Linked DNA regions of Coturnix japonica. The protein of the gene in region 3 interacts with the protein of the main gene of each other region in a biochemical or structural test. Links are inferred from orthologs where the notes say so. Each region holds a gene or a part of one and is shown on either strand. Other genes may lie near its edges.

Region 1 (3,751 bases), on a different chromosome or scaffold from region 3:
GTGGATTATCTCTTGGATGCTCTTCCTGCAATGGGAAGTACACGAAGTGACCGTGTACAAATCAGCTGGGGATTTAATCCCGCCCTGGAACGCACACACAACTTCAGCACACAGCCACCAGCACCAGAGGTCAGCAGCAACCCAGCAACGCAACCTCTTGGCTCAGGACGGGGCCGCAGCACAGAAATGGCCACATCCATCCACACGTGGGGCTCGGCAGCACACCCAGCAAGGCTTCATCCACAAGAGCAACACCCGAGCACAGGAACTGGCCACCAGCCAGCGCCTCACCCTCTGCCTGCGGAGGTTGTGGAGCAAAGCCCGGACACCATTCCCAAGCACACAGGGGTGACCGACATCAGCCAAATGGCTACAGCAGGGGCTCAGCATGCCCTAGCAATGGGGCTCCCTGCAGAGATGAAGGCTGGCTGCACAGGGACGACCCTCAGCTGGCTGCCACTAAGAGAAGCCATGTGATCAACACGGGGCCACAGCCTTTCCCATCACCTTTCTAGTGATGGGAATGCACTCTGTGGACATGTGGGGAACTGTGAGAGACGTGGCACACACTGGAGGACAGGGCTGCTGTTTGAAGGAACTTCAACAGGCCGGGAAAAGGGATGCCAAGAGCCTCACTAAGTTCACCTAAGGCCAAGGGAACCCTGCACCTGGGGTGGGCAGCTGCAGGAGCACAGCAGGACTACGGAGCGGCTCTACAAAGACACCTGGAAAAACAACTGCCCAAGTGGCAGCATGCAGCCTCACAGCACAGCTGCCCAGCACCGCTCACCATGGCCTCAGCAGTGCAGCCAGAGAGAGGCCGGGTTCCGCCTGCTGCTGGGTACTGGCAACACACCAACACCACCCCAGCACAAGGATGGGTTCATTTGCTGTAAGTATGATCCAGCACCGGGATGGGCCCAGACCAAGGACACCATCCCAGCATCATCATCCGTAGCAATACCCCGGCTGGGCTGCACTTACCCATTGCTGTGCAATGAGCTGACTTGCAACAGCAAGCAGCCTATACATCTCCAGCACGGGCCCCTTCCCACTGCCTGTACAAGCCTACGGGGCACACAGTACAGGTACCATGCAAGATACACACCAGTACAGCACTCAGGACTCACATACACGATATTAAACACCAAACAGCGATTCCCTTTGCCATTCACACCAGCATCCCAGCCGTAAGTTCACAAGGCTCAACTCCATCCCTGTCCTCTGAGCACCACAACCCAACACACGGCTCCACACGCGCATCCATTGCCGGGGCAGCACAGGAAGCAGCGGCAGGCCGGCCCAGAGGCACAGCTCATCATCCATCTGTAAACCAACACCGCACCACACTGCCACAAAGGAGGCACGGAGTGAGGCCGGCCCAGAAAGGCAGACAGAACAGAAAGTAGCGAAGGATGGCGAGCAGCCGGGCAGGGCGGCTCGGACACCTCCGCTGTATTTTTTTCCCCTCCGTTTACTTTACTGCGTGTTTACTGCAGCCCATCACAAAGGGCTGCCCCGGAGCCCCACGGACGCGGGGAGAAGGAAGTTCCGCACAACATTTCTCGCAAAGGAAAATGGCTGAGCGCAAAGCCACGCCGGCCCACCCGGCTGTTGATACTCCATCACATCGCACGCCGGACCCCGCCGCCTCTCTCCTCTCCTCTCCTCTCCTCTCCTCTCCTCTCCTCGAGAGTTAAAACAAAGGACGAGCGGCCCATGGGCGCCGGGCCGGGATGGCACACGGGGAGAGGCCCGACCCACGGCCCGGCGGCCCCTGGCGGCCCCATCCCCGCGCAGCCGTTCCCGGGTGGGCCCCAACCTCCGCCCGCTCCACCCAGGGCCGCCCCCCGCGGCCCCTCGGTCTCCCCGCGCCGCCCCTTCACCCCGCTTCACCCCGCCGCCATCCTCACTCCCGACTTCCCCCCCGTCCTCCCCGCTCGGGCCCGGCCTCCCGCGCGGCCTCCATCCCCCCCCCAGGCCGCCCCCGCTCGCGGCCTACCCCCGCCGCCCCGCCCCGGGCCGGGCCTCGCCCCAACGCCGGATCCTCGGCCCGCCGGGCCCGCAGCGCCGCCCGCACGCGGCCGGGCCGGTCCTCGGTCCGGGGGCAGCGCCTACCTCCCACCCGGTACATGTTGGCGGCCATGCCCGGGACGGGTGCGGGGCGCGGGCCGCTCCCGCCGCCTCCTCCTCCTTCTCCTTCTCCTCCTCCAGGTGCCGGATCCGCTGGAAAATGGAGGCTGAAACGGCCGGGCGGGGGAGGGGAGCGGGGGGAATTAAAGGGGCCGCGCCGGCTGCCGCCCGGCCGCTCCAGGAAGGCGGGAGGGCGGCGGGAGGAAGGCGGGGCGGCGGCGGGACGGGAGCGAAGGGAGGGAGGGAGGGAAGGAGAGAGGGAGGGAAGGAGAGAGGGAGGGAAGGAAGGAGGGAGGGAGGGAAGGAGAGAGGGAGGGAAGGAAGGAAGGAAGGAGGCGGCCGGCACGGAGCGCAGCGTGGGGCGGAGAGCGCCGCGCCCGGCCTGGGGGAGCCCAGCGGCGACGGGCGGAGCGACGGGCTTCACGCTCAGCACCGCGTGTCCTCGCGTGCTGCCAGCCACAAGGGAGGACAACGAGCCGCAATACGCACCTACAGCCCGCACCGCCCAGCCCTTAGCAGCTCACCCCTGCCCTCTCGCCAGGCTCGGTTCCCCCCGCTCCCACCCCTGTATCCATCCCCCTGTGCCGGCTGTGACACCCAGCGGCTCCTCCTGCCAAACAGCCCCTGCTGACAGATGACTCCAGGGACGGGGATGTGCTTTCATGTCCAGTTTTATTAGTGTTGCATTAGTACCATAAAATAGTTGACGAGGTCGAGCACGTTGCAGTTTGTTCAAAAAAAAAAAAAAAACCAAAAAAATAAACCAACAAAAAAAACCCAAAACAAAACAAAAAACAACCAAGAAAGGCTATTTACATTTGAACTTTCGTCATAAAAATAAAAAGAAACAACCGAGAACCCAAACAAGACGACAATGAAACAGATGGACAACTCGGGAGTCTACAAAGTGGTAACGCGCCCTCGAGTGCTGCGGGCCGGGCAGGGCTGTTAGCACAGCACACAGCATCCATGGCAGCACAGCGCTTCCCCATTGCCCCGCAGTGCTGCAGAGCAGTGCTATTCCCTATGGAAACCAAGGACCCGCTGGTTGGGGACAGAAGCATCGCACCCACTGTTGCTCCAGGACCCCCCACCTCTGCACACCCAGCAGCAGCCATCAGCTCAGCCCCTCTCTACAGGGTCTTCCCTTCGAGCTTTGAGCCACAACGTGCAATGCCCCAATCCTGGCTCTGTGCTGCTCCCTCCGTGCCTGTTGCTGGTGGGAAAGGACCAGGTGGGGCCTTCCTGTGTGAGCTGCTTCCCGCTGGCACGGGCAGCAGGTGACCAATCCACAGAGCTGGGGACGAGCCTTTATCTCCAGAAACCCAAAGGACCAACAAGCACAAGGTGCAGCACGACACCACAAAACCCATCTCATCTGCTCACCAGCACAGTCAAACCAGGTCAGTGCCACAAGGAGCCCTCATCTCCAAGCAAGGTGGGAGCCCTTCTCCCAGCAGCGTTACTGTCTCCCTCCGGTGTAACCCGGTGAATTGGGGTGTACAAAGTTACACCAAGACACAAACCAACACGAAACACACCCAGCGCTCCTTTCACACGTACACACACACACACATAGAGCAGGGCAATGTACACGTGGACTGGCAGGACCCAGCAA
Region 2 (3,287 bases), on a different chromosome or scaffold from region 3:
GACATACGTGAAGAGTATAAACCAACAGCCACGGCTCTCATAGAGAAGAACTTTAAACCTGCAATTGCTGAATGCAGAAACAACCATCTACATTGTTATCAGCACTTCTGGAAAGCAGGAGAAAAAGAAAATTCCAACACCATTTGTCTTCGGTTTCTGTTGATTTTAACAAGGACAGAAGGGTCAAGGAACAGGATCTCTTTTTTCTAAAACCCTCCCCCTCCTTTACACTTGTTTATTTAACACTGGCTGCATTCCCACAATAATATTTAGAAAACTGGAAAAACAACAAGATCTTGTAGACAGAAAAGACACTTTTCTTTCCCCCCAAGCTTACCAAAAAGCTTGATAGTTGCAAGCAAACGTTCTTGCCCTTGAGATATTCCTTCTAATATTTAACTCCATTAAACAGAAGTACGTCAAACGTGTGAGGCACCTTTTAAACAACATATTGTATAGGAATACCATTGTTTCTTTCTGGCTGAGGGAAAATGGTAAAAAACGAAGCCCCGTGTTTTTCCTTCCAATATTAAAAACTCTCAAATTCCTTTTGTTTCTTTAAGTTATTTTTAATACACTCTCCCTCACATTTTAAAATTAACCAATAACTTCTTTAGGGGCAACTACACTTTCATTGCATCAGTCAGCATTGTAGGACAACAATATTACAACATCTGTTTTCATGGCTTGTGTTAAATACAGTACAAAGAAACCAAATCATGGCCAGCCACATGCCTTTGGTAAAATTAAATGTCTGGTGAGATCACATTTTCTTCAAACTCAGAAAACCATATGTTGAACCCATGTAACATTTTAAAGTTCAATTCTATACAAACTTCAAAGTAAAGTTAAACAGCTGTCATCCCATACAAATCACAGTTTCTGTGCTGTTCCAGAAGTATGCTGCAAGTTTGGAACTTCAAGGAAGCTCTCTGCATGCTCTGGATCTCCCCTGGAATTGTGTTTCAGACAGGGGGCAGAAAGTCCAGTAGATATCCACAGACCTCCAGGTCAAAGCAGTCAGGACTCTTCTCCTTTTGACAATTGACAGTGATAAATATCCTTTGTTTTTAAAAAACGTTCCACATGCGTCTCATTTAAGCAACTGTCGGTCTTCTCCTTTGAGGCGTTTTTTCCGAGGCTGTACGATGTCATCATCTGAGTCATCACTAAGTTCTGGATTATCTTTTTCACTCTGGCAGTTAGATTGTACAGGGAACTTCCTCCCAGGATAAAGGCTCTTCAGTAGTTCTTCAAAGTACGCTTCAAGTTTCATGCCAGCGTCAGCCACTTCTGAATCAGGCTGTTGGGTGAATTAACAACATCAGTTCATCATGAAATAGCTTCATACTTAAAACACATTATATCCTTCGGGTGCTCTTACAAGCTACAAAAATCAAATAGCATTAAGAATATATATAAGTACATCTCAAGGCTGCTAAGAGAACAACTGCATGAAATGCTGACATTTTTCTGGGATGCAGACCTACCTCTAATTATGGCAAAAATATTACTACCATGGACAATGACTACATCTCAGAAGACCAGGCAGCCCTGAAATCATTTATGCACACCATGGCTGACCTGTTTCCTGAAGTGGGTGTCACCATAGCATTAAGTATTCCCAGTGACTGACCCGAAGGAGAATCCAACTGAAGACACTTAGAGAAATCTAATTTCCATTGTCAATTCTCTCCCTTTTTGCCCACTCAGTTCCTAGCACAAATAAGGGTAAGACTTCAGAAAGAAAACTCCACTGAATTTGAGATATAATACAATGAGGATTAAACCAAGTTTTCAATCAAATGTTCACCATTAACATATATGATGAACAGCCATTCTTCTCCCTACCTGTTTCCCTGCTATTTCGGTTTGCATGTTTGTTACAGCTCTCCTCCCTTCAATAGAAGGATCTCAATTGCATACTCATCTAATATTGATGTACTCTCAAAGGTGATCTACGTTTTCACTGGGCTCTTATCATCAATGTAAGTCTAATTAAATAAGTAAACTCTACCCCCACTTAGTTCTTCTGAAAGTATTTAAGCCTACAAGAACAGATGAAGTGTCTACTTCTCTAACCTCATTAAATTCAGCACAGTTTTGGAAAATCAGTCTGAAGTCAGCCACAAAATCTTCTGGCTTTGTGTAGAATGAATCAGTCACTTGGAGTCTCTTCTTGATGGTTGACAAGTCCATAGGCTTTTTGATTATTTTGTAGTAATCGGGAACCTAAACAAAGATGAAAAATGTTACCACATGCAGTCACGTTCATTGCATGTTGTTTTTCAGACCTTTAAATCTGAGGGAGAGGGGAAAATTTAGCCTCACCTTTTGAAATACAACTCTAACATCTAAAAACTGTACCTTTTACAAATAGGGTTACTGGAGTAACAGTGATGCACGCTAGTTTTACTGGCTAAAATACATACACCTCTCCAAACACCTCCTTTAAAAGAAAAGCAAAATAACTAATAAAGCCAACTGCATTTACTACATGGAATAAAGTAAATGATGCTGACATTGTACATCAGGTGAACCATCTATTAAGTCTCACCCTCAAGACTGCCATATAACAACTCTGGCAACCCATTCAGATGCAGTAAATGTATTGCTTAAAGTGACGTTCAGAGATGAAATATATCCTTAGAAATGGTGGTAAACTACAGAGATCAATTATTTTGGCATTTCAGATGTACTTTCTTACTCAAATGGAATAAGAAGGATGCATAGGGGCATTATTACTTATTGATGAAATCTTTTTCCACTGACATGTTTCAAGGGACATAGAGGCACTGTTCACTGGACTACACTAGGAGCACTTCTGTACATCCTTGGACTACAGATTGCTTTTTTCTTCCACTGCCTGATGAACTCGAGTTGTTTTTAGCATTTTAAATTCATAAACTTGCACCTAATAATACAAAATTCTGTTTCATGGTTGTACTAAGCAGGACTCCAGTCTTCAAAACTGGGTATTTTTTTTTAGAAATAAATATGTCTCCCAGTTCATTTTTTAGTGACAACACTCGGACAGTGTTAAATTTACTTTCTGTGTCTATTTTTGAAGTATTTCTCAAATTCAGCTCTTGGGAAATTCTGCACATAACTTCCTTCCCACCCAGTGCTTCATCTTCCATAGAATCTTAGAATGGCCTGGGCTGAAAAGGGAACTCTAAGATCATCCAACCTGCTGCTGTGGGCAGTTACCAACCCCTAAACCAGGCACCAGTTTAAGCTGCCCAGGGCCACATCGAACCTGGCCTTGAACAACTCCACAGATGGGG
Region 3 (3,667 bases):
GAATTTAAATTTTTGTATGGCTTTGGTTTTAGTTTTTTACGCCTTTACCACTCATACTAGTATGTTACATCAGAAATTCATCATTTTGTTACTTAGACATCTTCAAATCTCCAAAATCTATGTGTTTGTTGCCAGATTACACTGCCTTATGTTCTCTTTTGAATTCAGGTGGGATTGGAACAGACAAATGAATAAAGCAAATTGGAAAATAATGCACTAAAATTTTTGAAAGAACTTGCTCTTGTACCTCATGATTAGATAATGAGATGTCTCCCAGACACCGAACACCTATTTAGAATATTTCTAGCATACTATTTATAACTGGTATACAAGAATAAGAACCTAACATTTAATTTTGTCAATATGACAACTTCCCAAATATGGTCTTTGTGAAATTTTTAAACAGCAAAGCTTTGTCTATTTAATCCTAACAGTACTATGCCTCGTAACAGACGATAATCATGGGGAGGACTTTGTTCCACATTTCCTATTACCATGTCAAATGTGCAATACAGAATCAAGGCCAGAAGAGGCCATTAAATCAGTCTTGTAACTCTGTATTCGGATAAACCACCTGCACAACCAAGATCATACATTCACCTAATTTCCACTGCTTTAAGCCTCATATATTATATACATCTAAAATGCATCTTGAAAGGACATGCCTATCCTTGACTGAAAACATCAGGACAATGGGAATACACCGCTGCCCTTTAATGCTTGTTGCAGTGCCTGAATGTTACTACTACAATGTATGCCATTTTTATTTTGAAGTGTCCCACCTCCGCTCACTGTTAGAAAATAAAATAATGCCATTTCCACAGTTCAGTTTTCATTTCCAACTGATTCTTGGTTTTTCTCCCTCCTCAAGTAAAAAGCCCTCACTTTAGCCCATTTCCTGCATGTGCATTTCAGCTTCACAAACTCACTGTTCAGCTGTTTACACACCACATGTCCCTTAAACGCTTTCTAACAGAGTTTTGCCCTGGATAATCATATTGAAAAATAAAAAAAAAATAAAAATAAAAATAAAATAAAAACAACATGGAATCTAGTGCAAAACACACTTTCACACCCACATCACTGTTAAACAATCCAGATACTCAATGTTCAAGTACATTAATTCCTCCTAGAGTTATTGCCTTCAGTTGCTCTAAAATACATTTTGTCTGAATCAGTTCAGCTAAGAGACATATTAGTTGGGCTGCCTGGCCTAACCGTTATCTTTTCACTTGTCTTTATTCCACTTGATCCCCAAAACCGATTAATCATTTGCAAAAAGTGCAATCACCATCTGTTTTTTTGGATCAGATTCTGCTACAAGATTATCTCAGGTTGCGTGACACTGTGTTTAATAACCTACATTGCTGTTCCCAGCAACAGTTAAGTCTGGCCTCGACAGGGAAAGGATAACCTGGTTTTATTTTTAGAGGGTCTCTCCATTTGTATAAAAATCACCTGTATTTCACAAATAAGCTGACATGGACAGCATTTAGGAGCTAACCGTTCACTTTAATTTGCTATAGTCCATTATTATATGCCAGTAAAAAATTAAGCTATTAACAGTGCACAAAGATTAACAATGTGAGTACTGGTGTGTTTGATTATATTTTCCTGGAAGCTACAGTTCTATCAGTTTCTCACACATATGTCAGAAATTAAGTATATGCTTTCACAATTTCCAGTGCGTATTAAAATTCTTCTATTGAAGGATAAATATAAATTTAAAAAGAAATCATATTTAAATTTATAAAAATTATTTTGAAATGCAGCATGCTAGATTTATGCTTAATATATATCAAAGTTTGATTAAAAATGCAAGGCACATAGCTCTTATTGCAGCTCATTAAAGTGGTTGCTGACTGAAATACTGTCATTGAATCAGTTCAAACAGTTTGATTTGGAAGGATATTGTGCCTGTGAACTACTTCCTATATAAGTCACTTATCCTGTAAAGGATACCAGAGGTAAGTAATACTCTTACTAGCAGCTAAGAGCTGAACAAACAGCCAATTGCACATTTTCAGTATGCTTCTAGACAGTAATTTTAATATACTGCAACAAGGAGATTGTTTGCCACTCCTTAATCAATTATGATTTCATGTTTTCCCAGGAAACATTTACACTCATTATCTAATTTGTTTCCCATTTACTTACAGTTTTCATTATTTACAGATCACAGGCACAGTAAGCTGTGAGTTACAGTTTTGTTTTATCCTCTGCTATTTTTATGGTCCCGATATCATGGAAGATTCCACAAGATTACACAGTCCTTTACACAAAAATGAAAGTGTAGGGCAGACATATTTCAATATTCTGATTTCTCAGCATAGCTGCTTAAAGAAGAAAGAGAAATTCTCTGTTGCACTTACCTGTAGAAGGCTGGAGGAGCAGTTTCCCTCATCCCGAAGCTGCCCTGTTCGTTTTCAAGGTAGTAGGGTACCTGCTGGCTGTGGTGATGGATGAAGGGTGAGAGCTGGGGTGCCGTTTGCAAGAACACCACTGGGCTTGGTGGGACATTGTTCAGAGAGTGAAATCCTGCCAGGCTGCTGGACCCAAAAGATTCAGAAGTAGGGGCATAACTGAGTGTAGTAGAGCCGTACACTGGAGCGGTAGTACCAAAATCGTAGGTGGCCCCTTCTGGGTAGTTAAAAACTCCTGTCTTGTTGCTTTCCACGTACATGTCGCTGAGCGATCGTTCCAGGGGAATCTTCAGCTGAGGTCTGCTCAGAGTCTCCAGTTCAGTGCCTTGAATCTGGTGCAGCAGGGTAACTCCAGAGGCTTTGGTGTGAAGGGTCATGGTCATTGCTAATGGCAGGGAGCAAGGAACATATCTGCTTTTACTGTCAACAGCAAGATCGGCAGCTGGCAGTCCACCTAAAAAAAACACCAGAACCTATTCTGAGGCTCAGCAGAAATCATGTTAAAGCAGCACTACACAGGTATTCCTCTGATCTCGGCGAGGAGGAGTATACAAACAAATGCAGGGTGAGCACTGGAAAGGCACATTCTCCCTCTCCCTCTAACTTTTGAGAACTCCTCATCTGCTCTAATATGCGTTACAAGGTGCTGGCTGCAAGCCAGGGGCTCTTGCCTTGTGCCGACGCTGATTTAAACATCACTTCAGAAACAATTAGTTTTGGAGGTACACCAAACAATTGTCCCACTAAATGTTACTTTATTCTTGCTAGTCATTTAATTTTTCACTGCAGGGCAGCCAGCACTCCACAGCAGCTAACGGGAAAGGACGCTGAAATCAGACCAGAAAGACTAGTCCAGTGGTCAGCCAGATTACTGCCTTTTATTTCCTCAGCAGGCTCCAATCTATCTGTGCTTATCTCTCCCTGTTTGATTCATTTTCATGTTTGCTAGAAATATGTAATGTGTACATTGTAATGACCCTGGATAGGACTATGCTGTAACTGAGATATGGCAAAGCAAAATGCATGTGCAAGCGCATGCATCTGTGTGTGTAACAAGTCTCTGTCAACAAAACTAGCTAACAGAAATTAAAGAATGTAAAAGATTTGTGTAGGACAAAAGGTTTATAACAAGCTTTATCAGTAACAGTGACCCAAACTAGTGAAGTGAAAATTTACATTAAAAAAAGTGAGGAAAAAATTTAGATTAGCCCATAAATTCCTGTCTGTTTCTGTTTTACCTTGTA

What was found.
Region 1: the proteins of ESR1 (region 3) and MTA1 form a complex in vitro, tested with the Homo sapiens proteins (4 studies listed by BioGRID). The link is inferred for Coturnix japonica from reciprocal best matches to the Homo sapiens genes ESR1 and MTA1.
Region 2: the proteins of ESR1 (region 3) and TRIM24 form a complex in vitro, tested with the Homo sapiens proteins (4 studies listed by BioGRID). The link is inferred for Coturnix japonica from reciprocal best matches to the Homo sapiens genes ESR1 and TRIM24.

What each region holds. Positions count from the first base shown.
Region 1 is NC_029523.1:3,968,685-3,972,435, forward strand, and holds the start of MTA1 (metastasis-associated protein MTA1), read right to left. Parts: upstream 2,394-3,751; 5' UTR 2,147-2,393; coding exon 2,119-2,146; intron 1,642-2,118; exon of another isoform or gene 1,627-1,641; coding exon of another isoform or gene 1,608-1,626; intron 1-1,607. UniProt on the Homo sapiens protein: Transcriptional coregulator which can act as both a transcriptional corepressor and coactivator. Acts as a component of the histone deacetylase NuRD complex which participates in the remodeling of chromatin.
Region 2 is NC_029516.1:55,912,887-55,916,173, reverse strand, and holds the end of TRIM24 (transcription intermediary factor 1-alpha), read right to left. Parts: intron 2,450-3,287; exon of another isoform or gene 2,368-2,449; intron 2,233-2,367; coding exon 2,083-2,232; intron 1,304-2,082; coding exon 1,094-1,303; 3' UTR 558-1,093; downstream 1-557. UniProt on the Homo sapiens protein: Transcriptional coactivator that interacts with numerous nuclear receptors and coactivators and modulates the transcription of target genes.
Region 3 is NC_029518.1:44,173,039-44,176,705, reverse strand, and holds the start of ESR1 (estrogen receptor 1), read right to left. Parts: upstream 2,807-3,667; coding exon 2,373-2,806; intron 1-2,372.